7 linked regions of the Macaca fascicularis genome follow. The protein of the gene in region 3 interacts with the protein of the main gene of each other region in a biochemical or structural test. Links are inferred from orthologs where the notes say so. Each region holds a gene or a part of one and is shown on either strand. Other genes may lie near its edges. The genes, in order: TFE3, ERBIN, SMAD3, SKI, NEDD9, LEF1 and SMURF2.

Evidence for each region.
Region 1: the proteins of SMAD3 (region 3) and TFE3 form a complex in vitro, tested with the Homo sapiens proteins (2 studies listed by BioGRID). The link is inferred for Macaca fascicularis from reciprocal best matches to the Homo sapiens genes SMAD3 and TFE3.
Region 2: the proteins of SMAD3 (region 3) and ERBIN form a complex in vitro, tested with the Homo sapiens proteins (2 studies listed by BioGRID). The link is inferred for Macaca fascicularis from reciprocal best matches to the Homo sapiens genes SMAD3 and ERBIN.
Region 4: the proteins of SMAD3 (region 3) and SKI form a complex in vitro, tested with the Homo sapiens proteins (8 studies listed by BioGRID and IntAct). The link is inferred for Macaca fascicularis from reciprocal best matches to the Homo sapiens genes SMAD3 and SKI.
Region 5: the proteins of SMAD3 (region 3) and NEDD9 form a complex in vitro, tested with the Homo sapiens proteins (2 studies listed by BioGRID). The link is inferred for Macaca fascicularis from reciprocal best matches to the Homo sapiens genes SMAD3 and NEDD9.
Region 6: the proteins of SMAD3 (region 3) and LEF1 form a complex in vitro, tested with the Homo sapiens proteins (2 studies listed by BioGRID, with this or other methods). The link is inferred for Macaca fascicularis from reciprocal best matches to the Homo sapiens genes SMAD3 and LEF1.
Region 7: the proteins of SMAD3 (region 3) and SMURF2 form a complex in vitro, tested with the Homo sapiens proteins (2 studies listed by BioGRID and IntAct, with this or other methods). The link is inferred for Macaca fascicularis from reciprocal best matches to the Homo sapiens genes SMAD3 and SMURF2.

What each region holds. Positions count from the first base shown.
Region 1 is NC_088395.1:49,189,299-49,191,918, forward strand, and holds part of TFE3 (transcription factor E3), read right to left. Parts: intron 689-2,620; coding exon 541-688; intron 1-540. UniProt on the Homo sapiens protein: Transcription factor that acts as a master regulator of lysosomal biogenesis and immune response.
Region 2 is NC_088380.1:71,776,542-71,780,041, reverse strand, and holds part of ERBIN (erbin), read right to left. Parts: intron 3,097-3,500; coding exon 3,004-3,096; intron 2,533-3,003; coding exon 2,458-2,532; intron 1,010-2,457; coding exon 902-1,009; 3' UTR 1-901. UniProt on the Homo sapiens protein: Acts as an adapter for the receptor ERBB2, in epithelia. By binding the unphosphorylated 'Tyr-1248' of receptor ERBB2, it may contribute to stabilize this unphosphorylated state.
Region 3 is NC_088381.1:43,874,575-43,878,074, reverse strand, and holds part of SMAD3 (mothers against decapentaplegic homolog 3), read right to left. Parts: coding exon 3,448-3,500; intron 3,282-3,447; coding exon 3,150-3,281; intron 2,416-3,149; exon of another isoform or gene 2,347-2,415; intron 2,071-2,346; exon of another isoform or gene 1,892-2,070; intron 1,805-1,891; coding exon 1,730-1,804; intron 273-1,729; coding exon 93-272; intron 1-92. UniProt on the Homo sapiens protein: Receptor-regulated SMAD (R-SMAD) that is an intracellular signal transducer and transcriptional modulator activated by TGF-beta (transforming growth factor) and activin type 1 receptor kinases.
Region 4 is NC_088375.1:232,546,674-232,550,850, forward strand, and holds the start of SKI (ski oncogene), read right to left. Parts: upstream 2,801-4,177; 5' UTR 2,353-2,800; coding exon 1,384-2,352; intron 1-1,383. UniProt on the Homo sapiens protein: May play a role in terminal differentiation of skeletal muscle cells but not in the determination of cells to the myogenic lineage. Functions as a repressor of TGF-beta signaling.
Region 5 is NC_088378.1:161,565,300-161,569,276, reverse strand, and holds the start of NEDD9 (enhancer of filamentation 1), read right to left. Parts: upstream 2,801-3,977; 5' UTR 2,617-2,800; intron 1-2,616. UniProt on the Homo sapiens protein: Scaffolding protein which plays a central coordinating role for tyrosine-kinase-based signaling related to cell adhesion. As a focal adhesion protein, plays a role in embryonic fibroblast migration.
Region 6 is NC_088379.1:113,780,145-113,784,418, reverse strand, and holds the start of LEF1 (lymphoid enhancer-binding factor 1), read left to right. Parts: upstream 1-1,474; 5' UTR 1,475-2,643; coding exon 2,644-2,856; intron 2,857-3,330; exon of another isoform or gene 3,331-4,141; coding exon of another isoform or gene 4,142-4,150; intron 4,151-4,274. UniProt on the Homo sapiens protein: Transcription factor that binds DNA in a sequence-specific manner. Participates in the Wnt signaling pathway. Activates transcription of target genes in the presence of CTNNB1 and EP300.
Region 7 is NC_088390.1:71,145,891-71,149,390, forward strand, and holds part of SMURF2 (E3 ubiquitin-protein ligase SMURF2), read right to left. Parts: intron 2,870-3,500; coding exon 2,732-2,869; intron 1-2,731. UniProt on the Homo sapiens protein: E3 ubiquitin-protein ligase which accepts ubiquitin from an E2 ubiquitin-conjugating enzyme in the form of a thioester and then directly transfers the ubiquitin to targeted substrates.

The sequences.
Region 1 (2,620 bases), on a different chromosome or scaffold from region 3:
AGGCTGAGGTAGGTGGATCACCTGAGGTCGGGAGTTTGAGACCAGCCTGACCAACATGGAGAAACCCCATATCTACTAAAAATACAAAAATTAGCTGGGCGTGGTGGTGCATGCCTATAATCGTAGCTACTCAGGAGACTGAGACAGGAGAACTGCTTGAACCCGGGAGGCGGAGGTTGCAGTGAGCCGAGATTGTGCCATTGCACTCCAGCCTAGGCAACAAGAGCAAAACTCCGTGTCAAACAAAACAAAACAAAAAAAGCCCCTATCTCATAGAATTGTGAGGATTGAATAAGTTAGTGAATATAAAGCTCTTGTCACAGTACAGAGCACAAGCTAAAAGTTATGTACGTTAGCAATATTATCCCTGTTAACATTATGATTATTACTTATCATTATCACTATCACCATCATGTGAGTTGGGAAGCCCGGGGATACCCCAAGTATGCCAGGAAGGGAAACCCTGGCCCGCTTTCTCTCTGTCTCCACCTGCAGGAAGCTCTCCCCTACTTCCCCCACCACCATCTCCTCTTTTCAAACCTGAATTCGGAGCTGCAGGCTGCGGTTGGCCTGCTCCAGGGATCGCTGCCGGCTCTCCAGGTCTTTGGAGCGCTGTTGCTCCTTCTGCAGCTTGCGGATATAATCCACAGAGGCCTTCAGGATGGTGCCCTTGTTCCAGCGCATCTCCCTGTGGGGCCCAAGTGGGAGGCAAGTGGGAAATGCCACATGAGGGGTTTCTCAGGAGCTGAGGCGGGGATTGCACCAGGTGGGAACCTCCCACCACATGCCTAGAACTTGAGGCTGGGGTCCTTTAAAGATATGGAGTACCCAGAGGAAAACTTCCCGCCTGGAATCTTCCAACGGTGCCCCATCACACTCCAAACCCTGGAAGCCGTCTCTGACCTGACCCCTTAGGATTCCTCTCTTCCCTATGTCTCTCTGATTGATCTCACTACAGCCACATTGGTATCTCAGTGCTCCTAGAATACGGAAAACCATTCCCATCTCAGGGCATCAATCCCAGCTGTGCCCTCTGCCTTGAATACTCTTACCCCCAGACACCTATGCGGCTCCCTCCCTTGCCTCCTTAGGATCTTTATTCAAACGTTTCCTTGTCAGTTGGGGCCTGCCCTATCCTCACCTTCCTTACCCCAAACTGTAACCCTCTCCAACATTCTCCCATTTTCCTTCCAGTCTTTATTCTTCTCATAACACTCATCATAATGGATCTCATGGATGTTTACTTATTTACTATTTGTCTGCCCCTACTAAAACATCAGTTTCATGAGGTCTGTTTTGTTCCCTCTGGTATTTTTTTTTTTTTTTTTTTGAGACAGAGTCTTGCTCTGTCACCCAGGCTGGAGTGCAGTGGTGCGATCTCAGCTCACTGTCAGCTCAGCCTCCCGGGTTCACGCCATTCTCCTGTCCCAGTCTCCCGAGTAGCTGGGACTACAGGCGCCCACCACCACACCTGGCTAATTTCTTGTATTTTTAGTAGAGCTGGGGTTTCACTGTGTTAGCCAGGATGGTCTCGACCTTCTGACCTCGTGATCTGCCCACCTCGGCCTCCCAAAGTGCTGGGATTATATGCGTGAGCCACCATGCCCAGCCTCCCTCTGGTATCTTTAGGGCCTAATATGGTACCTGGCACAAACCAGAGGCTCAATAAATAAATCTTTCTCTTCTCCTTTTTTTTGGGGGAAGGGGGTGGGGGATGGAGTCTCGCTCTGTCACTCAGGCTGGAGTGCAGTGGCACAATCTCAGCTCACTGTAACTTCCACCTCCCGGGTTCAAGCGATTCTCCTGCCTCAATCTTCTGAGTAGCTGGGATTACAGGCCTGTGCCACCATGCCCCGCTAATTTTTTTTGTATTTTTTATAGAGATGGGGTTTCACCATGTTGGCCAGGCTGGTCTCCAACTCTTGACCTCAAGTGATCCACCCCTCTCGCCTCCTCAAGTGCTGGGATTACAGGTGCCCACCACCATACCCGGCTAATTTTTGTATTTTTAATAGAGATGGGGTTTCAGCATATTGGCCAGGATGGTCTCGATCTCCTGATCTCGTGATCCACCTGCCCTCCCACCGCACCGGCCATCTTTTTTTTTTTTTTTTTTTTGAGACGGAGTCTTGCTCTGTGCCCTAGGCTGGAGTGCAGTGGCGCGATCTCGGCTCACTGCAAGCTCCGCCCCCCCGGTTCACGCCATTCTCCTGCCTCAGCCTCCCGAGTAGCTGGGACTACAGGCACCCGCCACCACGCCCGGCTATTTTTTTTTTTTTTTTTTTTTTGAGACGGAGTCTCGCTCTGTAGCCCAGGCTGGAGTGCAGTGGCCGGATCTCAGCTCACTGCAAGCTCCGCCTCCCGGGTTCACGCCATTCTCCGGCCTCAGCCTCCCGAGTAGCTGGGACTACAGGCGCCTGCCACCTCGCCCGGCTAGTTTTTTGTATTTCTTAGTAGAGACGGGGTTTCACCGTGTTAGCCAGGATGGTCTCGATCTCCTGACATCGTGATCCGCCCGTCTCGGCCTCCCAAAGTGCTGGGATTACAGGCTTGAGCCACCGCGCCCGGCCTAATTTTTTGTATTTTTTTTTTTTTTTTTTTTGAGACGGAGTCTGGCTCT
Region 2 (3,500 bases), on a different chromosome or scaffold from region 3:
GGAGCGCTAATTATAAAACAGATTGCAAGTACCACCATTTGCAAAAAAAAAAAAAAAAATCGGGATTTCCATAACACAGAGAATGCATGGACATGCAACCACAGTAGAGTTAAAAATTTCCTGTGACTAAAAAATTAAAAACTGAATCACCAGTAGGAAATGTATAGTCAATGGCTATGACAAGAACAGATCCTGCCGAGCTCATAAAATGCAATTATTGTCTTTTTTGCTTTATAAAAAAGACATTACCTATTTTATTGCATTATTCTCTTAATAAAAACATACTACCACATAGTACCCCCCATCCCCATTCTTTGCTTCCAGATTTTTATAGAAAATAACTGTTTTAATCTGGCCTTGGAAAGTGAACCCACCAGCACCACCTTCACCTACTCACTCTTCAATTCAATATGCACATAGCAAAAGCCAACACTTCAAATCTCTTACCCACATCAAAAAAAAGTAGTTTCAGGAGAAAAACATTAATACCAGTTGAATAAAAATAAGGGCATAAAAGCTATGAGAGAGATAGCTCTGCCATCTGTCTCTGGGCTAAAATCAAGGCTAACTATTGCCTTGCACACAGTTCAGTCATGTATATGAAATCCAAAAATAAACCTACAATCTATACAAAAACAACACAGGTTTGTTTTTGTAGCCTTGATTGCTATGTTTAAAAACCTAACAAGTTTTATATGGTATGAATTCAACAGTCTCCTTTATATTCTGTACAGTGGTTCTTTCCCTCTAACCACAAGTTCCATTACTTCATTAATGTACAAATTTGAACATAATTTTTTGAGTTCTTCTTTATATATAAAAATAGTCAAAATATTAATTTCCCCTGCAAGTATCTTCCAATAAATCTTGCTGTCTTCCCCCCTTTTTTTGTCCACAGTGCTTATGAGGAAACTTCTCGTACAATGATGAGTTCAACTGTATTCTGGAAAGTTTTTAGCAAGGACACTGCTTGTCCATGTTCAATATTTATAAAACTGTAGCCATTAGCCTGGAAGAAAGAGGAAAAATGCTTTTAGGAAAAACATTTTATAGTAATTTATTTGCATTTCTGCCAAGTAGTTCACAAACCTGTAAGAAAATAAGAATCACTTTGGCAACTTAGAATAACATGTAGATTCACAGGCCCTACCCAAACCAAGGAATAAAGTCTCTGAAGATGGGGTCTAGAAATGTGTGTTTTGTCCAACTTTTCAGACAATTCTCATGTAGCAGTTCAATGTTAGGAATCACTAAGAAATAATGTCAGACATGGTGCTGTATAATGCTAATGTGCGTCTGAGGTGACCAAACTGTAGCACAGCAAGGGGCAAGGGCTAGCCTTCCGATTGTCTTGAAGCCATCACATCAAGACCACCATATTTCTTACAATTAAGGTTAATATTTACTGAGGTTCTACTGTGTACCAAATACACAATTCTAAGTGTGTAATATGAATTAGATCCTTTGAGTCTCATAATGCTCAAAAAAGATTCTTTCACCATCTTATTTTAGAGAAGAGAAAGCCCAGGCATGGAGAGGTAAAGTAACTTGCTCGGTCACAAATTGAAACTACAGATTCCCAAATGGTTCAGGAAAATAAACGCGTATAACTGTATGAGTGTATGAGTGAGTGTGACTCTCTCTCTGTGTGTGTGTGTGTGTGTGTATAGACGGAGGGAGAAAAGCAGAAGAAAGAGGAGAATAAACGCTAAAGACAATGTAGCAAATTATGAACAACTGGTGACCAAATGATGTAATATTGGTGTTTATTGTACTATTTTTGTGGCTTTTCTCTAAGCTTGAAATTATTTAAATTTTTTTTTTTAATTAATTTTATTTTTAAAAAGTGTTGGAACCAGAATTTAAACTCGGGAAGTCTGGTTTTCAGAATCTGTACTTTCAGCTACTAGATATTAATGTCTCTCTCTTTTTTTTTTTCTTGGTTTGAGGGTTATTTTTTAGTTCTTTAGTTCTCAACTAAGAACAGTGATGGTAGGGGTAGAAAATGAGAGCTAGACTTGTGTCCTAGGCTTGTCTTCTTCTAAGACTGCAAGTGTTTACGTAAAATGAGTAGCTGAAAGAACAAAGAAAAGGAAGGGACAGGAAAAAATGAGTTTCTCAGATTTAAAAATTTTCTTCTCCATTTCTGAAAGGCCAATAGCCCACATCCAAGAAGTAGTACTCTAATCCCCCTCAAATTAGTAAAAATTAACATTCCTGAGCTTAAACAAAATCCTATGATGTATCAAACTTTTTTTTTTTGAGACTGAGTCTCGCTCTGTCGCCCAGGTTGGAGTAGAGTGGCGTGATCTCAGGTCACTGCAAGCTCCGCCTCCCGGGTTCATGCCATTCTCCTGCCTCAGCCTCCCACGATTTTCAAAGTTGAAGTGAAAACATTTTAAACTATGAAAACATTAGAGTGTTATAAAATGAAAAACAAAGATTTATTTTAATTACCTGAATAATTTTATCACCTGGCTGCAGTAATTTTGATGCTGGTCCTTCAGGCTGTACCCTTGTTACAAATATACCCTTTAATAACAAAAAAAAATTGTTTATTTAACTAAAAACAGTATGTATAAATAACAGAGTACCAAGGAGCAACTTCTCCTCCACACCATGCAAATATTTCAATCACGGTACAAGTTTTCTCCCTGACTTCTCTGAGTAATACTGTAACAAACTAGCTATTTTTACCTCTAGTAATTCTGACTTCAGTGATTTCTCTTGAGAGTAATAAAATTGCTTTTATAGATGTGTGAAAAAGCAATAAGAAAATTAAAGATCACTTGATAATATCACAAACATTCATAGTTTTTGGTTAAATTGTTTTAACTTGAACTGATCAAATTACAAAACAAAAAGGTAAGCAATAGAGTGGGGAATCAAGGTGATGTCTACCTAGATTTACATAAACATCTACTAGATTTTCACTTACATATAAGTATTGAATCAGCAAATAAAACTTTATAGGTGTTTCAAGAATATACAAAGAAAACTTACATCATCATCAGGTCTGAATGGGTTTCCTCTACCCCCGACACCACCTGATATGCTAAATCCAAGTTCTGGATCCTTTTCAACCCTCACTCGAATCTGAGTTAATATGAAAATAAAGGAAACTTACTATTTCAGAAAAAGTTATAATGCCACAACATCTATATTTAAATACTGATGGGTTAAGTCCAAGCAAACATAAACATAAGAATTCATCAAAAATAAACATTTGGTCAGATGAAGTGAAATACAACATAGAATATTATGTTAATGAGTTAGTGAGTTAAAGGCAGAGCTGAGATTATATAAAGCATAGCTCCTAATTTTATTGCTTGTCTTATAAGGATAGGAATCAATTAAAATTGACCCTGTTTTACTTTTTAGACATCATAGATTTTAATGCCATAGTATATAAACACAAAACATGTATATTATTATCAGTTTCCACTTGTGGGACATCTAAATTACACAGTATCTCTGTTTAGTGGCTTGTTTCGTAAGAT
Region 3 (3,500 bases):
ATCACTGCGCAAATACGGAGAGCAGCAGAGGGGGAAGAGGGAGCGCAGAGTGGGGAGACACACAGCAGCTGGAGACATGTTGCTCCACTGGCCTGCTTCCCGTGCCTGCACTGAAGAGCTGCAAGCTTGCAGCCGTCTCTTGGCATCGGATACAGGAAGGTCTTCGATGCATTCCAGCTGGTTCGCGCTGCTAGCCACTCCGCCGGGCGGGTGTGTTCCACCGGGTGTGCTCAACCCAAAAGTGCCACGATGTCCAGGCTGGATTTCAGCAACTACAACGGACATGCGAATCTCTTTCGTTCTCTCAGGAATTGCACAACCTCAGCTGGATGCGGTGTAATCCCACACTTTGGGAGGCTGAGGCGGGCGGATCACCTGAGGTCAGGAGTTTGAGACCAGCCTGGCCAACATGGTGAAACCCTGTCTCTACTAAAAATACAAAACTGAGCTGGGCGTGGTGCTGCATTGCCTGTAATCCCAGCTACCCAGAAGACTGAGGCGCGATAATAGCTTGAACCCAGGAGGCAGAGGTTGCAGTGAGCTGAGATCACGCCATTGCACTCCAGCCTGGGCAACAGAGGGAGACTCCGTCTGGGGCGGGTGGGGGAAGGAACCGCACAATCTCTTCTGGGCTGTGTGCGAGGGCAGGTGGCTCCGCTGTGTCTAGCGGCTCTGTGCGTATGAGGCATGCCCACCACCATCAGAATGGAACATCTGCGTGGCTCCCTCTCCCCTTCTCCCCCTCTCCCAACCACACACAACTCAGTACACATTCTATGTGGCAGCTGGGGTTCAATTCAAGAAGCTGCTGGTCTGGAGCCAATTTGGTCCTATAACAAATGATATGGAAAACATCTGGAGATGTAGCAGGCGAGAACTAAAGCCTGCCCCTCACGGCAGGAGCACACATATCACATGTGGTTGTCACACAAAAATACTGGCTTCAGGGGTCTCCACTGGTCATCAGAAGAGGCATTAGTTCCATTCAGTCTTTTCTTGCCTCCCACCTGACTTCTTGAGGTGATCGAGGCCACTCTCCACCCTGCTGCCGGTGACATCTCACTAAGGCCCAGGCCCTGCTTACAGCCTGCAGTGGTTCCCATCAGCCCTGACTCAATGCCAAGTGGTCTTGCCAGCTTGAAGGTCCATCACACCCGGAGCCCTGTGTGGTAGGCCCTCCCATCATTCTCCCCACTGGAGAGAGTGTATCCTCCAGTCATGCTGAGCTCCCTGGGCTGGACACTCTCCGGACTCCAGACACACCGAGCTCTTACTGTCCCCAGAATGCACCAGGCTCAGAATGCACCCAGAATTGCCCAATTCCCATGACTCTGCCTGGCACACCCCTTGCCCACTCTGACAGCTTGGCTAGGCTAACACCTACACATCACCAAGACTCAACGTGGGGAAAAACCTGGACTGCAAGGTGCTGTTCCTCCCCAGACCAGATGAAGTGGCCCTGCTGTGTGCCTGGTGCCATGCGGCATCTTCCATGAGGGCACACACGAGATGGCCCAGTGACTGCTGGCTGTCCTGTCAATCTCCCCCATCATCCGTGGGCAGCTCGGACCCTCTCCTATGCCCTGCCCCTTGCACATCATGGTTGCTCTACAAATACTGGAGAGAGAGAGGAGAGAGGGAGGAAGGGGGCGAACAGGAAGGGATGGAAGGGCTGAACCCACCGGCTGCTAATCAGTTAAGAATAAGAGCATATGCCTGCATGACTGACCTGCGTCCATGCTGTGGTTCATCTGGTGGTCACTGGTTTCTCCATCTTCACTCAGGTAGCCAGGGGGTGGGGTCTCTGGGAATGAGAAGGAAGGAGGTCCGTTAAAAGGCCTTCACAGCTGGGCTCTGAGACACCTTTTGCAAACACATCACACATGCACACCATGATGCTAGTGTCCCTGGCTGCAGGAGTTCCAGGTCTCGGAGTAGAGGTTCCAGCTCTTGGTTCTGTTGTCCTCGCCCCTGTCCACCTCTGACTCCCACTTGGATCGTAACTGCCTTTGCTCACGCACAACCGGACCAACTCCCACGTCTGAAGTGTATACTCCTAGAGCCTCCACCAGGCTAACTTCTCCTGGTCTTTCAAGGTGAGGGTTAAGCCCCACCCCCTCCAGGGAGGCGTCTGGACTTGCCTCTGCCTCACCCCTCTTTGTCCTCTGAAGACCTGCAGGCTCAGACCCACCCTCTACCGTCTCTAGGGGATGTGTCCTCACTCAGCAGTTAGGTTACAAATTCAATGGTCGCAAACACAGTGCGATCTACTTCTCTGAAACCTCCCCCAGACCCTGACTGAAGCCCTCCAAAGTTTGCTATTTGAACACAGAGTAGTTGACTTACCCCTGGGACGCCAGGGCTACCCGCAAAGGATCTGAGAAGGTTGGACAGTGGGTCTCTCCTTAACACTCTGACCCAAGCACACAGGTCTGTAGCCAACCTCAGCTCAGTAAACTAACCCAGGATGAACGTCACGTCCAAATTAGCATGCTCTAAGAGGAACGCAGCAGGATTACTGCCCCAGCAAGCAAAAGTGACTACCCAAGTGCTGCCAAGCACAGCTTTCCTGGAGTCGGAAAGTGCTGGTGATTCACACATTATTTGCATGTAAATGAGGGGCTTCTAAAAACATTTGCAGTCTTTGACAGCAAAGCCCATTTCTCCCTGCAGAGTGAAAACTCAAAGTTCCTTCAATTCCCACCCAGGTTGGGGCCCCTCACCGAGGCCCGATGCCCAGGCGAATTTACAGAACCAGCTCTCCGCACTTGCTGCCTGGCCCTCAGCTCACTCCCCGCCTCTGCAGACCCCCGGTCCACTGGGGACTGAACGCCAGTCCCGGCCTCATGGGCGGTGAGAGAAACAGTGTTGCTATTTCCGCTTCCAAAATAAATGACTGCACCAAGGCCGGGCGGAAGGGTCACGCTGCTCCTCTATGCCAAAAAAAGCATCACTAGTAAGGGGGGAGCTGAGGTCATGGGTCCTCTCCCAACAGGGATGTGGTTCTGAGTCAGGGGCCCTCAGGCCAGAGCTGTGCAGAGAGAGGGGATGAACGGGGGACGGCCAGGGGGCAGAGACTGGGGCCACAGGACTGATGTCTGACCGTTGCCCCTGCCTCCCAGGTCAGCCTATGCCGCCCACGTGCCTACCTGGAATATTGCTCTGGGGCTCGATGCCCGCGGGGAAGTTAGTGTTTTCGGGGATGGAATGGCTGTAGTCGTCCAGTGGGGGGAACTCGGCCGGGATCTCTGTGTGGCGTGGCACCAACACAGGAGGTAGAACTGTCCGGGGGAGACAGAGCAGAGGTGGCTCAGTGTCGATGCCAGACCAGCACCAAAGTCCCCGCACCCCCAAGTGCACCACAGACCCTCGGGGGGGGTGGGGGGGTCGGGGGAGAGGTGACGACCCCAGCACCTGCTGTCCCCACAGGCGGGCCAGGTAGCATACCTGGTGTCTCTACTCTCTGGTAGTGGTAGGGATTCACGCAGACCTCGTCCTTC
Region 4 (4,177 bases), on a different chromosome or scaffold from region 3:
GGTCCCAGCCTGCGAGGTCTGTCTGCAGCTCTGCCACGAGCATCCGTCCCCAGCCCACAGGTCTGCAGGCAGCTGCCACCTGAGCCCTGGCCTGGCAGGGTCAGAAGCACCCCTGCACACACACACGCACACACACAGGCACACGCACATGCACCCTCCGCAGCCCCCTCCGCGCAGAGGCGACAGTCCCTCGCTTCCATCCACAGCCCCTCCTCCCCACGATCTGACACTCTGCTGGAGGGGCGCCCAGAGAAAACCGGGCTGGAGCATCTATTCACAGATTCAGAAAAAAAAAGTTTGATGCAATAGCTGAATTAATTAGGCCTCCCAAGAATAGCTGAGCCAATGCAGCATTCTGTGTGTGCAATTTAATAAGCCTGGATATTTAAAAGAAAAGTTACACATACTTGGGGAGGTATGCAACGGAAAGTTCCTGAGGACCCCACTGAGTAATTTCGGTGCCTCGTGGCCTGGGAGCTGCCCATGCCGGATCCCGTAGATCCTCCAACTGGCAAACTACAAAGCCAGGCCAGCGGCCTCCCTCCCCGGCGCACCCCTCTGCGTTTCAGAAGGAGAGAAGGAAATGGGTGAGTCCAAAACAAATCCCAAGCCGCCAGTAACTCCAGCATGTGGGCCCAGGGGCCTGCTGACCAGGCCCTCAGCCGGGTGCCAAGTGGCCCTCACCCCACACGGGGCACTCTGGGATTTGGTCCCTGGCAGGCCCAGGGAGACCAACCAGCACAGTGCTGGAGCCGCCCAGTCTCAGGCCCCTGTCGCTGCAGCCTGAACACCTGGCTTCATTTTGTGTCTCTGTCCCAAAACTTCAAGGCAACAAACATGGACCGGGAGCCAGTAACAAAACCAGGCCTCGTCTCGCCCAAGCTCTGTCTCCTGGGGCCCAAGGGCAGGCAGCCCTCCGTCTTCGAGGCTGGGTGCCTTCGGGGTGAGGGCAGTCACCTCCACCCCAACCCCAAGGAAGACCTGGGCCTGAGGCATCCGGCTGGGGCCCAACTGGAGCTAACTTCCCTGACCTCGGAGCAGGCCGCTTTCCCGGGAGCATAGGAGGCCTGTGCCTTCCTATCCTATCTGGGCAAAGGCTATGGGCCTGTGGGCCTTCCCCACACACCAGGCCTAGCCCCCACCCCACCGCCACAGCCCCCACTCCAGGCTCCTCCTGGGGGAAAGGGCAGGAGGGCCTTCCTACTAAACCCTCTGGCCCTGCCAAGGGGAACACTCTGAATTTCCCTAAAACAAAGCAAAGACTTGACACATGGGGCACGGCAGAAACACAGGTCCCAGCCTTTGGAGACCAGAGCCTGTGGCCCAGAAGGGTCCCCCACCGCAAGCACATCCACCCCTGCTCCCAGGCCTGGGGCCACTCACCCGGGGCACCCGCCGCTTGTACTTGTTGCCGTAGTCGAACTTCTCCTTCACGTCGTCCAGGCAGCGACCGAGGCGCGCCTGCTCCTCCTTGCCCGTGTAGTCCTGGCTCAGCAGGATGTAGGCCCGCCAGTTGGCCGAGTCGAAGCCCCAGTGGCAGGTCCGGTTCTCCAGGGCCTTGTGCGAGTGCACCACGAACTTGTGCGGCGGGTACATGAGGCGGCAGTCCAGGCACTGGATGCAGGCGGCGCTCGGGCTGCTGTAGAGCTCCGGCACCAGCAGCCCCTTACACTTGCCGAAGCACTCGTGGTACACGCGGACGCTGCGCTCGCTGAGCTCCAGGCCCAGCGCCAGGCTGGCGGCCAGCTCCTTCTTGCAGGGCGGCGGGTAGGCGCCGCCGTAGAGCAGCGCGTTGCACAGGCGCTCGGCGTCCGTCTTGGTGATGAGCCCGCACGAGGGCGCCGAGAAGGGCAGGATGCCCATGACTTTGAGGATCTCCAGCTGGTCGGCCGTGCAGCGCGAGCAGTAGATGTGGAGCTCGTCGCACACCGAGTTGATCTGCTGCAGCGAGAAGTCGCGCAGCACCGAGTTGAGGATCTGCGGCAGACACAGACGCTTCTCGCCTCCCACCACGAAGCACGAGATGGTCTCGCCTTCTAGCACGGTCTCGCAGCGCTCAGTGGAGCGATCGGACGGCATGAAGAAGGGACCGGGCAGCACGGGCGGCGGCGGCTGGATGGCGGGCAGGTGCAGCACGGGCGGCGGCTCGGTGGCTGCGGGCACCGGCGCCGGCACCGCGGCCGCGCCCGCCTCCTTGGCGCTCTCCTTCTTGTAGGCCTCCTGCGCCCAGCGCGCCGAGAAGGCGGCCGGGCCGCCCAGCGAGCTCATAGAGCTCAGGTGGAACTGCTCCAGCGTCTTCTGCAGCCCCGGGTGCGGCTGGAAGCAGCCGCGGCCGCCTGCCGCCGCCTCCATGGTGCGCTCCGTCTCCCCCGGCCGCTCCCGCTCCCGCGCGCCCGGGCCCCCCCGGCCCCCGCCGCCGCCCCGCGCGCCCCGGCGGCGCCCGCGGCCCCGACCCCGGCCGCCCCCCGCCGCCGGCTCACGGCCGATCACGGCCGCGGCCTCGCCCGGGGGCGCGAAGGGGAAGGCGGGCGGGGCGAAGGGGTCCCGCCGCTGGAGCCCGCCGCCGCCCGGGCCCGGCGCCACATCCACGCGCCCCGCGCCGCGCCCGCCGCCGCCCGGGCCCCCCGCGCGTCCCCCGCGCGCCCCCCGGGCTCTAGGCGCGGGGCATGCCCCGGCGCGCGCCGCCAACGCCAACGCCAACGCTCGCGGGCCCGGGGCTCGCGGGGGGCGCGCGGGCAGGTGCCGGCGCCGCGAGGCGCGAATCGCCGCGGCGGCCGAGGCCGAGGGGCCCGGGAGGAGCGGGGGCGCGGGCGCGGGGCCCGCCGGGCCGTCCTCGCGCGGCGCGCCGCCGCCGCCCCGCTCCTCCCACCGCGCGGCGCCCGCCCGGCTCGTCCCGGCGGCGCTGGCCGGCCGCGTCGCGCCCGCCGCCGGCCCCCGGCCCGCCCGCCCGCCGGCTCCGCGGCCCGCCCGCCCGGCTTCCGGGGCGGCGGAGGCGCCTCTCGCCCGCGGCCCTCAGAGCGCGGCGGCGGCGCGGGGCTCGGGGCGCTCGGCGCACATCCTCCCGGCGGCTCGCTCCGGCTCGGACTGAGCGCCCGGCGCTGAGCTCACGCCGCCGCCGCGCCGCCCCGCCCCGCGCCGCCTGCTCCGCCCCGCGCCGGCCCCGCCCCCCGCGCTGTTTGTTGCCGTGCGTCCGCCTCAGCCCGAGCGCTGGCCAAGAATGTGACCCGCTCCCCAGTCGGGCTCTTCCAGGAACGCGCGCTCCCCGCCCGGACTCGGCCGCGCTCGGCTCCGCTCGCCCGGGACTCGGCCACGCTCGGACCCGCCCTGCCACGACTCGGCTACTCTCGGCCAGGACTCGGCTCCGCTCGGCCATGCTCGACTCCGCTCGGCCCCGCTCGGCCCCGCCCGTCGAAGGCCGCTCGGCGCGGGCGGAGGCGGAGGCGGCGGTGGCGCCCGGGGCCCCCCTTCCGGCCGAGGCCGCTTCCTGCGCGGCTGGGAAGGCGCCCGTCTCGCCGCCGCCGGGGCCCAGAAACCCACAGGCCCCCGCCACGACCGCAAACCAGCTGGGGGAGGCCGGGGGGCCACGCCACGCAGCCGGGGTTCTCCCAGGGTGGGACGCCACACAGCGGGGAGGCCCCGGACGCCTCTGGGGTCCCACACACTACCGGGACGCCACACGGTGACCTGGGGTACCACACACGAGGGGGACAGCGGCCACGCCCAGGGACCCCGCGCCGAGACAGGCACCGCGCCGCGTGACCCTGGCGGCGCAGCCCAGCGGCCCCCGCTGCCCCGTGGCCCGGTGGCCGAGTGTCCACGGCTCCCGCCCGCGCCAGCCCCGCCCCGCCCGACGGCCCCGGGCGGACTGTCCCTGATGCGCGGGCCAGGGGTTTCGGGCCTGAGAGGGGCGGCGTCGGGTGCCCCCGACGCGGCCGGTTTGCCAGCCACCCCGGCCAGGTGGCTTATCAGAATTTCGGTCCCGCGGGTCCCGGCGGGCAGGCCGGCGAGACCCTTGCCCTCCGCCCCAGGGCCTCGGAGCGCTGAGACGGCTTTCGGGGCCAGGTCGGCCCTCCACGCCTGGCCACGCAGTGGGAGAGACCCAAGCCATGGCAGGGCGGGAAGCGGGAAGCCCGGGGCCCCGAAGTTGGACAGTCGGCCAGGTGGTCTCCAGGGGAGG
Region 5 (3,977 bases), on a different chromosome or scaffold from region 3:
GGAAGCAGAAGTTGCAGTGAGTCACACTGCACTCTAGCCTGGGTGACAGAGCGAGACTTTGTCTCAAAAAAAATAATAATCATAAACTCACTTTTTAAAAAACTTAAATACATTTATATTTTAAAAGAAATGTTTATACCACTCCTACAAAAAAAAAAAAAAAAAAAAAACAGGCCATTGTGGTTTAATACAAGGTAATCATAAAAAACACGTACAGGAAAATAAAGCCATGTTAATAATTTGTAGCTAGCTACCAGTGCCTGTTGATGGCTCCGAGCCTCAGATGGAGTTTCTCTTTGTTAAAACAGTAAGGAGCCAAGAGTTAGAAAGGCTTTAAGATCAGGCTCAATGTGACTTCATGCTTTGTCTATGCATCTTGTGCTACACAAAATTCTCCTATTTGTGTTTCACACTACAGAAATTTTGATCAAATGAGTTGTGAAGGTGACAGACAAGCAGGACAAAGTGAAGGTCATTTGCAGTAGGACACATCTTTGTGCTGTGTGGGTTTGCATGAAGAAACGTTGAGCCTAAGGTGCTCTCCCTGAGCTGTGCCTGTGCCCTTTCTCCAAGCCAAATCCAGAAGAAGAGAAGGGGGATCCTTGAATGGATATGTGGGAAATCAAAACTCAGAGTCTAAGGTCAAATGGAGATGGAGCTGATCATTGGAGAACAGAGTACTAAACTCTTTAAGTACCTACAGCAGGAGGTGGCTGGTGGTCTTAGCTTGGGTTACCCCGGAAGTAGACCCAATGCAGAGTTCGAGGACACGTAGTTTAAGAAATGATCCCAGGAAGCATTGACGGGGAGTGAAGGAGTATACAGGGAAGGAGAGAAGCCATAAAGGGCCCCACCACTGTGGGCAACTGGAGCTTGATCCCATGTAGATTATTCCACTCAGGACTGAGGGAGCTGAAATATTTACAGCCTTTGAGGAGTTCATTTCTGGGAATTTTCGTCTGTCATTTGGGCAATTGCAGTTGGCCCTATGTGACTTGGAGAAAGCTCTCAGGTCATGAGTTAAAGACTCAGGTTGTCAGCAGCCAGCTCAGTCAGTGAGGCCTGGAGGAGGGAGGCAGGACACTGACTACTTCGGACACCCCTTCTCTGCCAGATGCTTAAATGTTTGCTTTCCAATCTAATCCTTACCACAGCCATTCAATATAGCTCTTTCCCCTTATTTACATGTAGAGGAAGAGACACCAGGAATTACATCATTTGACCCGTACAGCCTGTCCTCTCCTACACCTCTGCTTCTATCTTCCTAGTCTCCTACTTCTTCTTCTTCTTCTTTTTTTTTTTTTTTTGAGACAGGATCTCACTCTGTCACCCAAGCTGGAGTGAAGTGGTGCAATCATAGCTCACTGCAGCCTTGACCTCCTGGGCTCAAGCAATCCTCCCACCTTAGCCTCCTGCAAAGCTGGGACTATAGGCACACACCACTGCGCCCAGCTATCTTGTTTAAGTAGTGACGTACAAAGTGACAGCCACTAAATAGGTGTTAAATAAATTAACCAATTAACAAGAAATGGTGGAGCGCTAGCTGAACACTGATTTCATATCCTTTCTTTTCCACCAACTCTACTCCCCACATTCTTAGAACGGGAATGTCCTTGAAAGTAACCAAGCTTGGAAGAAAACAGAAACAAAGAAGAAAACTATTTGGCTGATTTCCAGGATTCTGCCATGGACAATTGCTCTTTACACCCAATTCTGGGTGAGAAACCAGCTTCTGGGCAGGGGAAGGAGGGCCTCTTTATGCAGGAGTTTAAATGACTAGAGTGCCTACTCTCACTTCTCAACACAAGCAAAGGGAAAAGATTGGTGGCCGATCTCTGCATAGTTTGGAACTACATATAACCCTTTCAGAACGATCGTCCCCTTTGTGATTATAGATGGTCTTCATTTTGAAATAATTTCAGCAAGATGAAAAGGTTGCCTCAAGTCCTTCATGGAAGAAAGGCAATTGAATGAATGAAGGAAGGAAGAAATGAATGAATGGGTTAAGTGAAAGAATAAACATAGAGAAAAGTAAGGATGGAACTCTTGGGTGGCCCACTATGGACAGGGAGAACACAGTGTGCTGTCACTTGTCCTCAGTCCCTTGGAGATGATGCTAATGACTACAGGGATAGGACACACAGAATCCAATTCTCAGTCACCATTTCTAGCCAGTCAGGACTCATGCCCAAAGAGGCTGAAAAGGACGTAAATGATTCTAATCCATCATAAAGAATAAGTGACGGCTCACACCTTGAAGTACTGAAATAATTCAGGAAAAAAAAAAGCTTAGTTGCTGTCAGGTAAGCTCTCTGACAACAGTAAGAAGAGGGGAGGGGCCATGTACTTACGCACCAGGAAGCATCCACCCAGAACAATTTCAAAAGTAGAAATCTTGCGGGTTTGAATGTTGCACTAAAACCAGCACCTCCAGGTCAACTCGGAGACCTGGAGTCACTCATTCCTCTTTTGGGGCACGTGGAGATCCTCCCTGACCCAGTTGAGGGGTGTTCACAGTGGGGAAACACCACCAGATGTCTGGCACCGACTCAGGAAGTAGGAGCCTGAGTGAGTCCCTCCTCTCCCACAGGCCACGGCAAGTGGCTGAGAACTCACCCAAGGGCAGGATGGCACCGTCGATGGATCATTTTGCCTCCCTGACGCTCTGGCCCTGTCTCTGGGCCGGCGGGCGGGAGGTGACAGCTAGTCCTGCTGCAGGCTCATGCTTCCCTCTCCATGCAGCGAGCGGACTTGCTTCTAAAGGCAGCTGTAAGCATTTCCCTACTGAGCCACCACACACGTCGGATGTGAGTGGCGTATGTATATGTGTGTTTTTCCTTCCGGTTGCTGTGAAGTGATGTTGTCTTGGTTCATTTCCTCTCTGTGCCTCTTCTTTTTTTTCTCGGTCACACTTTCTGATTCGCTGAGGACATTGTAGTTTAGGGACAGGTAAGAAAGCTTGTTCTCATCTGGCTTCTTTGCTATTTTTAGAAAGGTGATCTTTAAATTAGTATTGCAAGGAAATTTGTCAAAATGTATTTTTCTGCGTGGCATAAGCTCCCTCCTAGGCTGCACTGAAGCAAAAGTTAGGCATTTCCAAGCCAACTGAATTGGGATTTTATGGTTTTATGGACTTCGTATGTTGCAAAGGGTTCCACTATTAATTGACACAAAACATTCTTTCATAAGACAAGTGTTTATTGAGCTTGTACACTGGAATAGACACTATGCTAGGGGCTAGGTGCTCAAAGAGTTTCCTACTTACAATGTGATATGGAAGCCTAGATCTGTGTATGTGGACGGGAATTTGAAAGCCCACACCTTTTGTCTTCTTCATTCTGTGCTTTCGAGTAGCAGACAAGTGGCTCTGAGACAAGCCTCCTGGGTTTGAATTATAACTCTGCTCTTTAAACACTTCTGGCCTTTCTGTGCCACGGCCTCCTCATCTGTAAAATGGGAACAGTCACAGGAGTGTTGTGAGAATTAAGCAAATTAGTACATGTAAAGCACTCCAAGAGTGCCTGGCACAAATAGAGTAAGCACAATGTAAGTGTTTGCTATGATCATTAGTGGCAACTTTGTATTATTATCAACTGAGATCTTTGCTATTTTCCTACCCTTCCTCATTTTCCACTCCTTGCTCGTGCCTAGCAAATGCCTTGAGGACATAGAGGGTTGAGAGGAAAGAGAGAGAGGTGGTTTGAATAATGGATGTCCCCAAATGATCCTGTGGTGCCTGATGTTTCTGCTCCAACTTGTTCCTGCTCCATCATGAAGACAAAGAAAGGGCCGCCCTTGGTCCCACCCATCAGACTCAGCTCATGTGTGTTGCGCTCTTGTGGCATCTCTTTTGTTGTTGTTCTGTTTTGTTTTAATTTTCTGTAAGACTTCTCTGAAATTCATTTAATTTTAAATGTTTGAGCTTGTTCAAATCTTGCTAAAGAATATTCTGCTCATACAAAGATGCCACACTTAAA
Region 6 (4,274 bases), on a different chromosome or scaffold from region 3:
GTAGTAGTTATTAGTAGGTGAAGTTTTAAGTGCTCACTTAGATACAGCATTGTTAAAATCTTTACCCATTCAATATTCAGCAGCCTGAAATTTCACCTTTAGGAAAATAAGAGGAATCTTTGCTAGACCATTCCTATATAACAGAGCAAAATCTGATTCTGTAGTGTTTTCCTTATTTTCAATTTAAGGGAGATGAAGATACATTTCTTTATGTCCTTTGTTTACTGTTCTGAAGTTTTACAGATGGCTACTGTATTGGATATAATAATTTTGCCTAGATTTTTAACAGAGGGGGTTTGAGAACCAAGGGACAAAATGTAATGTGTTTTCAAACTTCAGCTTCCCTTCTGCTGTAACTTTCACAAAGTATCTCCTGAAAACTCCTGTCTTTGTACAAAATGCATCAAAGACATAGTGGAGACTGGGGAATTTTTGAGGTTGTATTCGGATTTGCATCTTCAAGGGTTCCTTTCAGCTCGCAGTCCAAGGTGCCAGGGACTACCCCGTCCTCCCTCCCTCTTTTGGCTTTGCTCTCCCGAGTCCTTTTGCCTTCTCTTCCCCCTTCTTGGATTATCTTTTCATTCTCGATGAGGTTCCCACACACTGCGGTGTGTGTCTTTGAAAACCCACGAGAGACCTAGCACAACTCTCCGTACATCCCGTGGTGAGGACAGAATGAAAGAGATATTGTTTAAAAAGCAATAATTAAAATCTAGTCTTCAGTTCCTTCTTCCTCGTCATATTTTTTCTCGGTAAGCCTGGAGATTTTATTTTCACTAGCGTGTTCCCTTGTTTCCAAAGAGCGTGTGTATGATATTATATTCGGGAAAGCCACAACTCTCTTTTCCTTGTCCTTCTGTTCTCTCTTAATAGTTGAGCAATGTCTGTTATATTTTTCCCTTTTCCTTCTTTTCTCAGTCCCAGATTCCCGCCTCTCCCCACTGTCAGAGCATCTATCAATGTGGTGTCGATCACAGCGGCGGCGGCTTTCTCTTTCATCTTCCTCCCCCGGCCAGAGCGAGGGAGGGAGAGTGGGAGGCGTCAAGGAGGTAGGGGAGAGACTGGCAGAGGAAAAGGAGTGGGTGGGTGGGGGCCAAGAAAATAGATACTTAGATGATGAAGTCAAGCCATTGCGGCAATGTTTCTTGTCAATTTCACGCGGGCAAAGCGTGCCTCTCGGTGGGTTATAAGCAGCGCCGGGTCATTCCTTCTCTCGCCAAGTTGCCTGATCCTTCCCTCCAGGCGCGCGCGCACACACACACTCACACACCCCAAAACCAATACTCGTCCTACAGGATCTGGGAAAAGAAAAAGAAAAAAAAGCCCTCAATCACCACCTCCTTCTCGCCGACTCCCCCTCACCCCCCGCCTCCCCTCCAGCGGGCAGCCAAGGAGAGCTGGAGGCGGGGGAGGGGAGAGGGAGGAGAAGCGACGCAAGTGGGTAGCTTTTCAGCGCCGGCTAGGCGCGGGAGGAGGAGAAGCAGTGGGGAGGCGCAGCAGCTCACCTGCGGGGCAGGGCGCGGAGGAGGGACCCGGGCTGCGCGCTCTCGGGCCGAAGAACCAGGACGCGCCCGGAGCCTCGCACGCGGCCAAGCTCGGGGTGTCCCCTCCCCTCGGCTGGGCGAACCCAAGGGGCGCAGCTCTTTGCTTTGACAGAGCTGGCCGACGGAGGCGTGCAGATCCGCGAGCCGGCTAGCCAAGCTGAGAAATTCGAGCCGGGAACAAAGAGGGGTCGGGCTGAGTGTGTGTGTCGGCTCGAGCTCCGGGCAGAAGCATTTGGGCCCGAGGTCCCCGCTGTGACTACCCGAGACTCCGCCGTGCCCTCCACTGCGGAGTCCCCGCGCTTGCCGGCAAAAACTTTATTCTTGGCAAACTTCTCTTTCTCTTCCCCGCCTCCTCGGCCCCCACCTTCTCCTCCTCCTCCTTCTCTAGCAGATTAAATGAGCCTCGAGAAGGAAAACCGAAGCGAAAGGGAAGAAAATAAGAAGCTCTAAAACGGACATCTCCAGCGTGGGTGGCTCTTTTTTCTTTTTCTTTTTTCCCACCCTTCAGGAAGTGGACGTTTCGTTATCTTCTGATCCTTGCACCTTCTTTGCTGGGGCAAACGGGGGCTTTTTGCCCAGACCCCCTCTCTTTTCTCGGCAAACAAACTACTAAGTCGGCATCCGGGGTAACTACAGTGGAGAGGGTGTCCGCGGAGACGCGCCGCCGGACCCTCCTCTGCACTTTGGAGAGTGGTGCTCCCTCCAGAACCGGCGTCCTCCGCGCGCAAATCCCGGCGACGCGGGGGGCGTGGGGTGGCCGCCGGGGCAGCCTAGCCTAGCGCGCGCCGCGCAGACGCCCCCGGAGGCGCCAGCTACCGCGGCCCTCGCCGCCCAGTGCCCTTCGGCCTCGGGGGCGGGCGCCGGCGTCGGTCTCCGCGAAGCGGGAAAGCGCGGCGGCCGCCGGGATTCGGGCGCCGCGGCAGCTGCTCCGGCTGCCGGCCGGCGGCCCCGCGCTCACCCGCCCCGCTTCCGCCTGCTGTCCTCCTGTACGAACCCTTCCAACTCTCCTTTCCTCCCCCACCCTTGAGTTACCCCTCTGTCTTTCCTGCTGTTGCCGCGGGTGCTCCCACAGCGGAGCGGAGATTACAGAGCCGCCGGGATGCCCCAACTCTCCGGAGGAGGTGGCGGCGGCGGGGGGGACCCGGAACTCTGCGCCACTGACGAGATGATCCCCTTCAAGGACGAGGGCGATCCTCAGAAGGAAAAGATCTTCGCCGAGATCAGTCACCCTGAAGAGGAAGGCGATTTAGCTGACATCAAGTCCTCCTTGGTGAACGAGTCTGAAATCATCCCAGCCAGCAACGGACACGAGGTGAGCGGGCCGCTGCCCCAGTTCCGAGAGGCGTGGCGGGTCCCTGGGAAACGCAGAGAGGGAGGAAGGGAGGGAAGGCGCCCGGCCGAGGGTCCCGAGTAGATCCCTCGTTTGTTTTGGGGTGTGTGCGTAGCTGGGGCCCCGGTCCGCATTGCATATATGTGTGTGTGTGTGTGTGTGTGTGTGTGTGTGTGTGTGTGTGTGTGTGTAGAATGGGAGGTAGAGGGGCAGGGAAACTTATTCCAACTGGATCAGTTTAGGGGGTTCGGTGGCTGAACGGTTGGTTCGTGGGCAGGAAAACGTGCCCTTAACCCACAATGTTTCGTCTTCGGTCTTTTTGTTGGGCTGAGGAGTGCCAGGCTTTAAAGCGAGTATGGCTGAATAACGCTACTGAGAAATTCTTCCGTGGGACGGAAAACAAAGTGCACCCGCTATCTTTTGGTAGATGTCTCTGCAAAAGTGCGTTAAACCACCAGAGGCTTAGGTGGAGACGAGCAGAGCCACAGGCAGGAGGAAGGGGAGGCGGGCGTGGGCTGGGGCAGGCGGGGCCGTCCCTACCACCGCCGAGACCGGCCGCAGGGAGCCGGCCGGCCTAGGGGGCGCGCGCCCGGGCTGCGGGGGCGGTGCGGGGTTCAGTCCCTGCGGCCCCAGAGCCTGGGCTGGCAGCTGGGAGCTGTGGGTGCGCCGAGCCGAGCCACCCCAAGCTGTACCGCCCCCAACTCTAGTTTTCTCCAACCGCCATCACTTGGAAACAAACCCACAACTTTTATTTGGGGTTTGGGACCGGATCAGGCCTTAAATCTATGTAAAAGAAAGGCGGAGAAGCGGCGGAAGCCGGACACTAGTCCGGCAGGGCGGAAGGCGCTTTATCGGGTCTTCTGGTCCGCTGCGGGCAATAGAGCTGGTAACCTGAGTAGAGTAAATAGAGACACGTGGGTGCTGGCTGGAGAAAGCGCGGAGCGGGGCCGCGCTGGAGGGCTGTTTGAAGCCTAGTCCAGAGCTGGTAGGGGGCGGATGGACCCTGATACCCGACACTCCACTGGTCACTCTTGTTCCACAACTGGGAAACCTTTCTCTGGAGGAAATCCGGTAGAAAAGTCCTGACACCCGAATGATTTAACCAACGCCTTTTCCCTCCAAAGAAACTTGAAGGATATACCTTTTTTTTTCCCTTAAATGGCATCTTTCTACCCCCAAAAAGAAAGTGTGTGGTTTTGAGGGCGGGGACATTTTGGGTTTTAAACAGCGCGTTTAAGAACATCTCAGATCTGCCTTCTCTATCCCAATGGCAGAGGTGAGTACGCATTTTGAAAGGCTGGGGGCCTGCGTTCAGAGAACAGAAGGGTGTTCTTTACCCGTTGAATCCAGTTTGAGCGGGATGGGGGCGGGAGTAGGGTGCACCTAACCCCGCGTAAAAG
Region 7 (3,500 bases), on a different chromosome or scaffold from region 3:
CCTCAAACCAAAAATGAGAAGAAACAGTAAAAGCCAATAGCAAGTGCTTTTTGATTAAATAATCATTGTTCTCTAGAGGATATAAAAATTCTGGAAGATGTAATTTTACCAATAAAAAATGCACTAAACTACATCTACTGTGTGACTGTATGATTTATAAGTGAATTGCTTTTATTTATCTACCTACCCAAGAAGACCTCTCCATCTCACACATCACAGAACTTACTCATCTGTCAAATTTGTTACCATTTCCAAATCTGGAGAAATGGTTCTCCACTTCAAGAGAGAAGTTACTTAACAACACATCCTTTGGAGGACCATATTTCTGTTTGCTGGGCTAAGGGGACAGAAAAACTGTACAACTGTAAAAATTTTTCTTTGTAATTTTTAATCTCAAAACTGTAGCTGGCAAGACATTAGTACCGTGTGCTGTAAACACGACTGAACCCTGGAGAGTGGGATCCAGGGACTGAGCAGGACACACGAGGTCTTGAAAAGGAGATACTGCTAAGACTTAGGAAATTCTCATTTGTTCTTTCTTTTTTTATTATTTTAAATTTATATTAGATAGAGTTTCGCTCTGTCGCCCAGGCTGGAGTGCAGTGGTGTGATCTCAGCTTACTGCAACCTCCACCTCCCAGGTTCAAGTGGTTCTCCTGCCTCAGCCTTCAAAGCAGCTAGGATTACAGGTGCCTGCCAACACACTTGGCTAATTTTTGTATTTTTAGTAGAGACAAGGTTTCACCATGTTAGCTAGGCTGGTCTCAAACTCTTGACCTCAGCTGATCCACCCACTCTGGCCTCCCAAAATGCTGGGATTACAGGCATGAGCCACCACACCCAGCCTGTTCTTTCATTTTTTAAAGTAGAAATGTAATACATACTTTTTATGCATGTAACAAAAAAACAAACATTAACTATGGAGACAGTAAAATATGAAAGTCCATTCTTTTACCCTCTTTCTCCTCCCTATTTCCAGTCCCATCACCTCCACTCCCTCATCCTAGGCAAAAACTTTATTTGACTGCAGCCTCCTGAACATCTTCAGTATAATTATAAAAAAAAAAAAAAAACCAGCCAGGCACGGTGGCTTACGCTGTAATCCCAACACTTTGGGAGGCCAAGGCAAGCAGATCATGAGGTCAGGAGTTTGAGAACAGCATGGTCAATATGGTGAAACCCCATCTCTGCCAATAATACAAAAATTCGCCGGGTGTGGTGGTGCGCACCTGTACTCCCAGCTACTCGGGAGGCTGAGGCAGGAGAATCACTTGAACCTGGGAGGCAGAGGTTGCAGTGAGCCAAGATTGTGCCACTGCACTCCAGCCTGGGCAACAGAGTGAGACTCTGTCTCAAAGAAAAACAAAAGAAAACAAAAAACAAAACAAAACAAAAAAACATAGACTTTGTTCCTACATAATTCTTGTAAGATTTAGTTTTAAAATATGACAGCTTATGCAGTCTTTCTTTTAAATATCCACATAATATTCTGTTGAATGTATAATATAATCATTCTTCTCTAAAAAGATTTTAGTAGTGTAATTTTTACAAGTAGTATTTAATTGACCATCCTTTCCTGTACTTCTTCAATTACATGTGTGTTTCTGCAGAAGAGTCCTAAACACAGAGCTGCTAAAGGGCATGTACTGCTGGTATCAAACCACTTTCCAGAAAAGCTATGCCAGTGTTCACTCCAATCAAGTGGACCTCATTTTTAAACTAGGAACAATGTTAGTAAGATTTGAGAACATGATCTATACAAAAAAAGTATAGCATGCAAGTTTCTGTGTACATACAGTAAAGTTCAAGTTCAAACTTCCAAAGCTGATTACCACAGTTTTGTTTGGTAGACTTTTTATTTCTCATAAGCCAAATTAGCCCAATACATAAAAATTCCTCAAATTTACTTTATGAAATCTGAAAAACATTTATTTACATTTATCCCTAAACTCACAATGTGCTTGTTTATAAACAGGCTAAATGTTAGTAATATACAGCACAAAAGCCCTTCTGAATTGCCACCTGTGATAGCTACACCACACATGGCCCCATTGCCCACATCTCCTGGTATTCACACCTTTGTACAGCTCCTCTTCCATGATGAAACTGGGCTGGCTGTCTCAGTTTAACCAGAACTAGACAGAAGTCATGTTGGCCAGGACCAGGCTTAGGCCTTAAAAAGATCTAGCAGCTTCTGCTTTTGAGCTTTGGAAAGCTGGCCACCCCATAAGAAGTCTATCAATACAGTGGGTAACATGATTAACCTTCATTACAATGAAGGGACAAACTTTTCAGGGAGAAAGAGTGGCTATGGGGAGAGGGAGTGGTCATGGAGAGAGGGAATGGCCTTTGATATCACAGAGGGAGAACCAAGGAACTCAGCCAACAATGAGAACTAGGACCCAGCCAGTGACCCCAGTCGACAGCCATGCCAGCTAGCCCTCGGCCATTTGAGTTATCCTAGTTATGAGTGAAGAGGCCATCTTGGTGTTGCAGGCCTAGCTGACATCTTGTGGAACAGCAGTGTGTCATCCATGTTGTTCTTTTGCCCAATTTCCTGACCCTTGGAATTGTGAGAAATAATAAAATGGCTGTTCTTAATAAGCCACTAAATTCTGCTGAAGCGGATTTTGTAACACTAAGTAATACTATCTAAATATTTAAATTTGTTCATACTAACATCCTAGAACATTTAAAAAAAATTCAGCCTTGAGAACACAGGAGTGTTTACCTGACATATTCTTTTTTATTTTCTTCATTAACAGGGATACTTTTGCCATTTGGTTTAAGTTCATGCTGAATAATTTCACCATATGCATTATGTTCAACACAGAAGGTATGGTCCAAAACACCTGTAATATCATTCTCACTGGAAAGGAAAGAGGAAGAGATAGGTAACTGGGAAACCTAAAATACAGACCCTATAGATGTATTAACTGGTGAGATAAAACTAAGATCATTTTATAATATGACAAATGTGAGGTCAGATTCAGCTTATGAACTCTTAAACTACCACACTACCTAGTTCTTTCTGGACAGAAAAGTCAAAGAGCTTTAACCTGCATAAACACAGGAAACATTTAACTTCCTGAGTGATGAGAAAGAGCCCTGGTCAAAGCTGGGACTTGCTAGAACCACCAATATAGGACAATTTCAGTTATATTTGGCATTCTGAAGAGCGCTACTCGGTACTGTACTCCAAGGGGCCAAGTGCCTGTGTATCCCTAGTTGAGAAAGCCACTGTATACTTTATAAAAAATAAACATTTCCAGTGTATCTTCATAAAAATAACGACCTCTTGCAAAACAGAATCAGTTCTTAGCTTAAATTCAACAATTAGTTCTTATCTAAAAGTATGGTTCCAACAATCGCCACTTCATTAAAAGCAATGGCAGCAAGAATTTGCTATTCTAACACATGCAGGTTTGGAACAGAATTTACATCACATTGAGGAAATAATCATATAAAGTACTTTTAAAAATAGAATATACTAGTTTTTT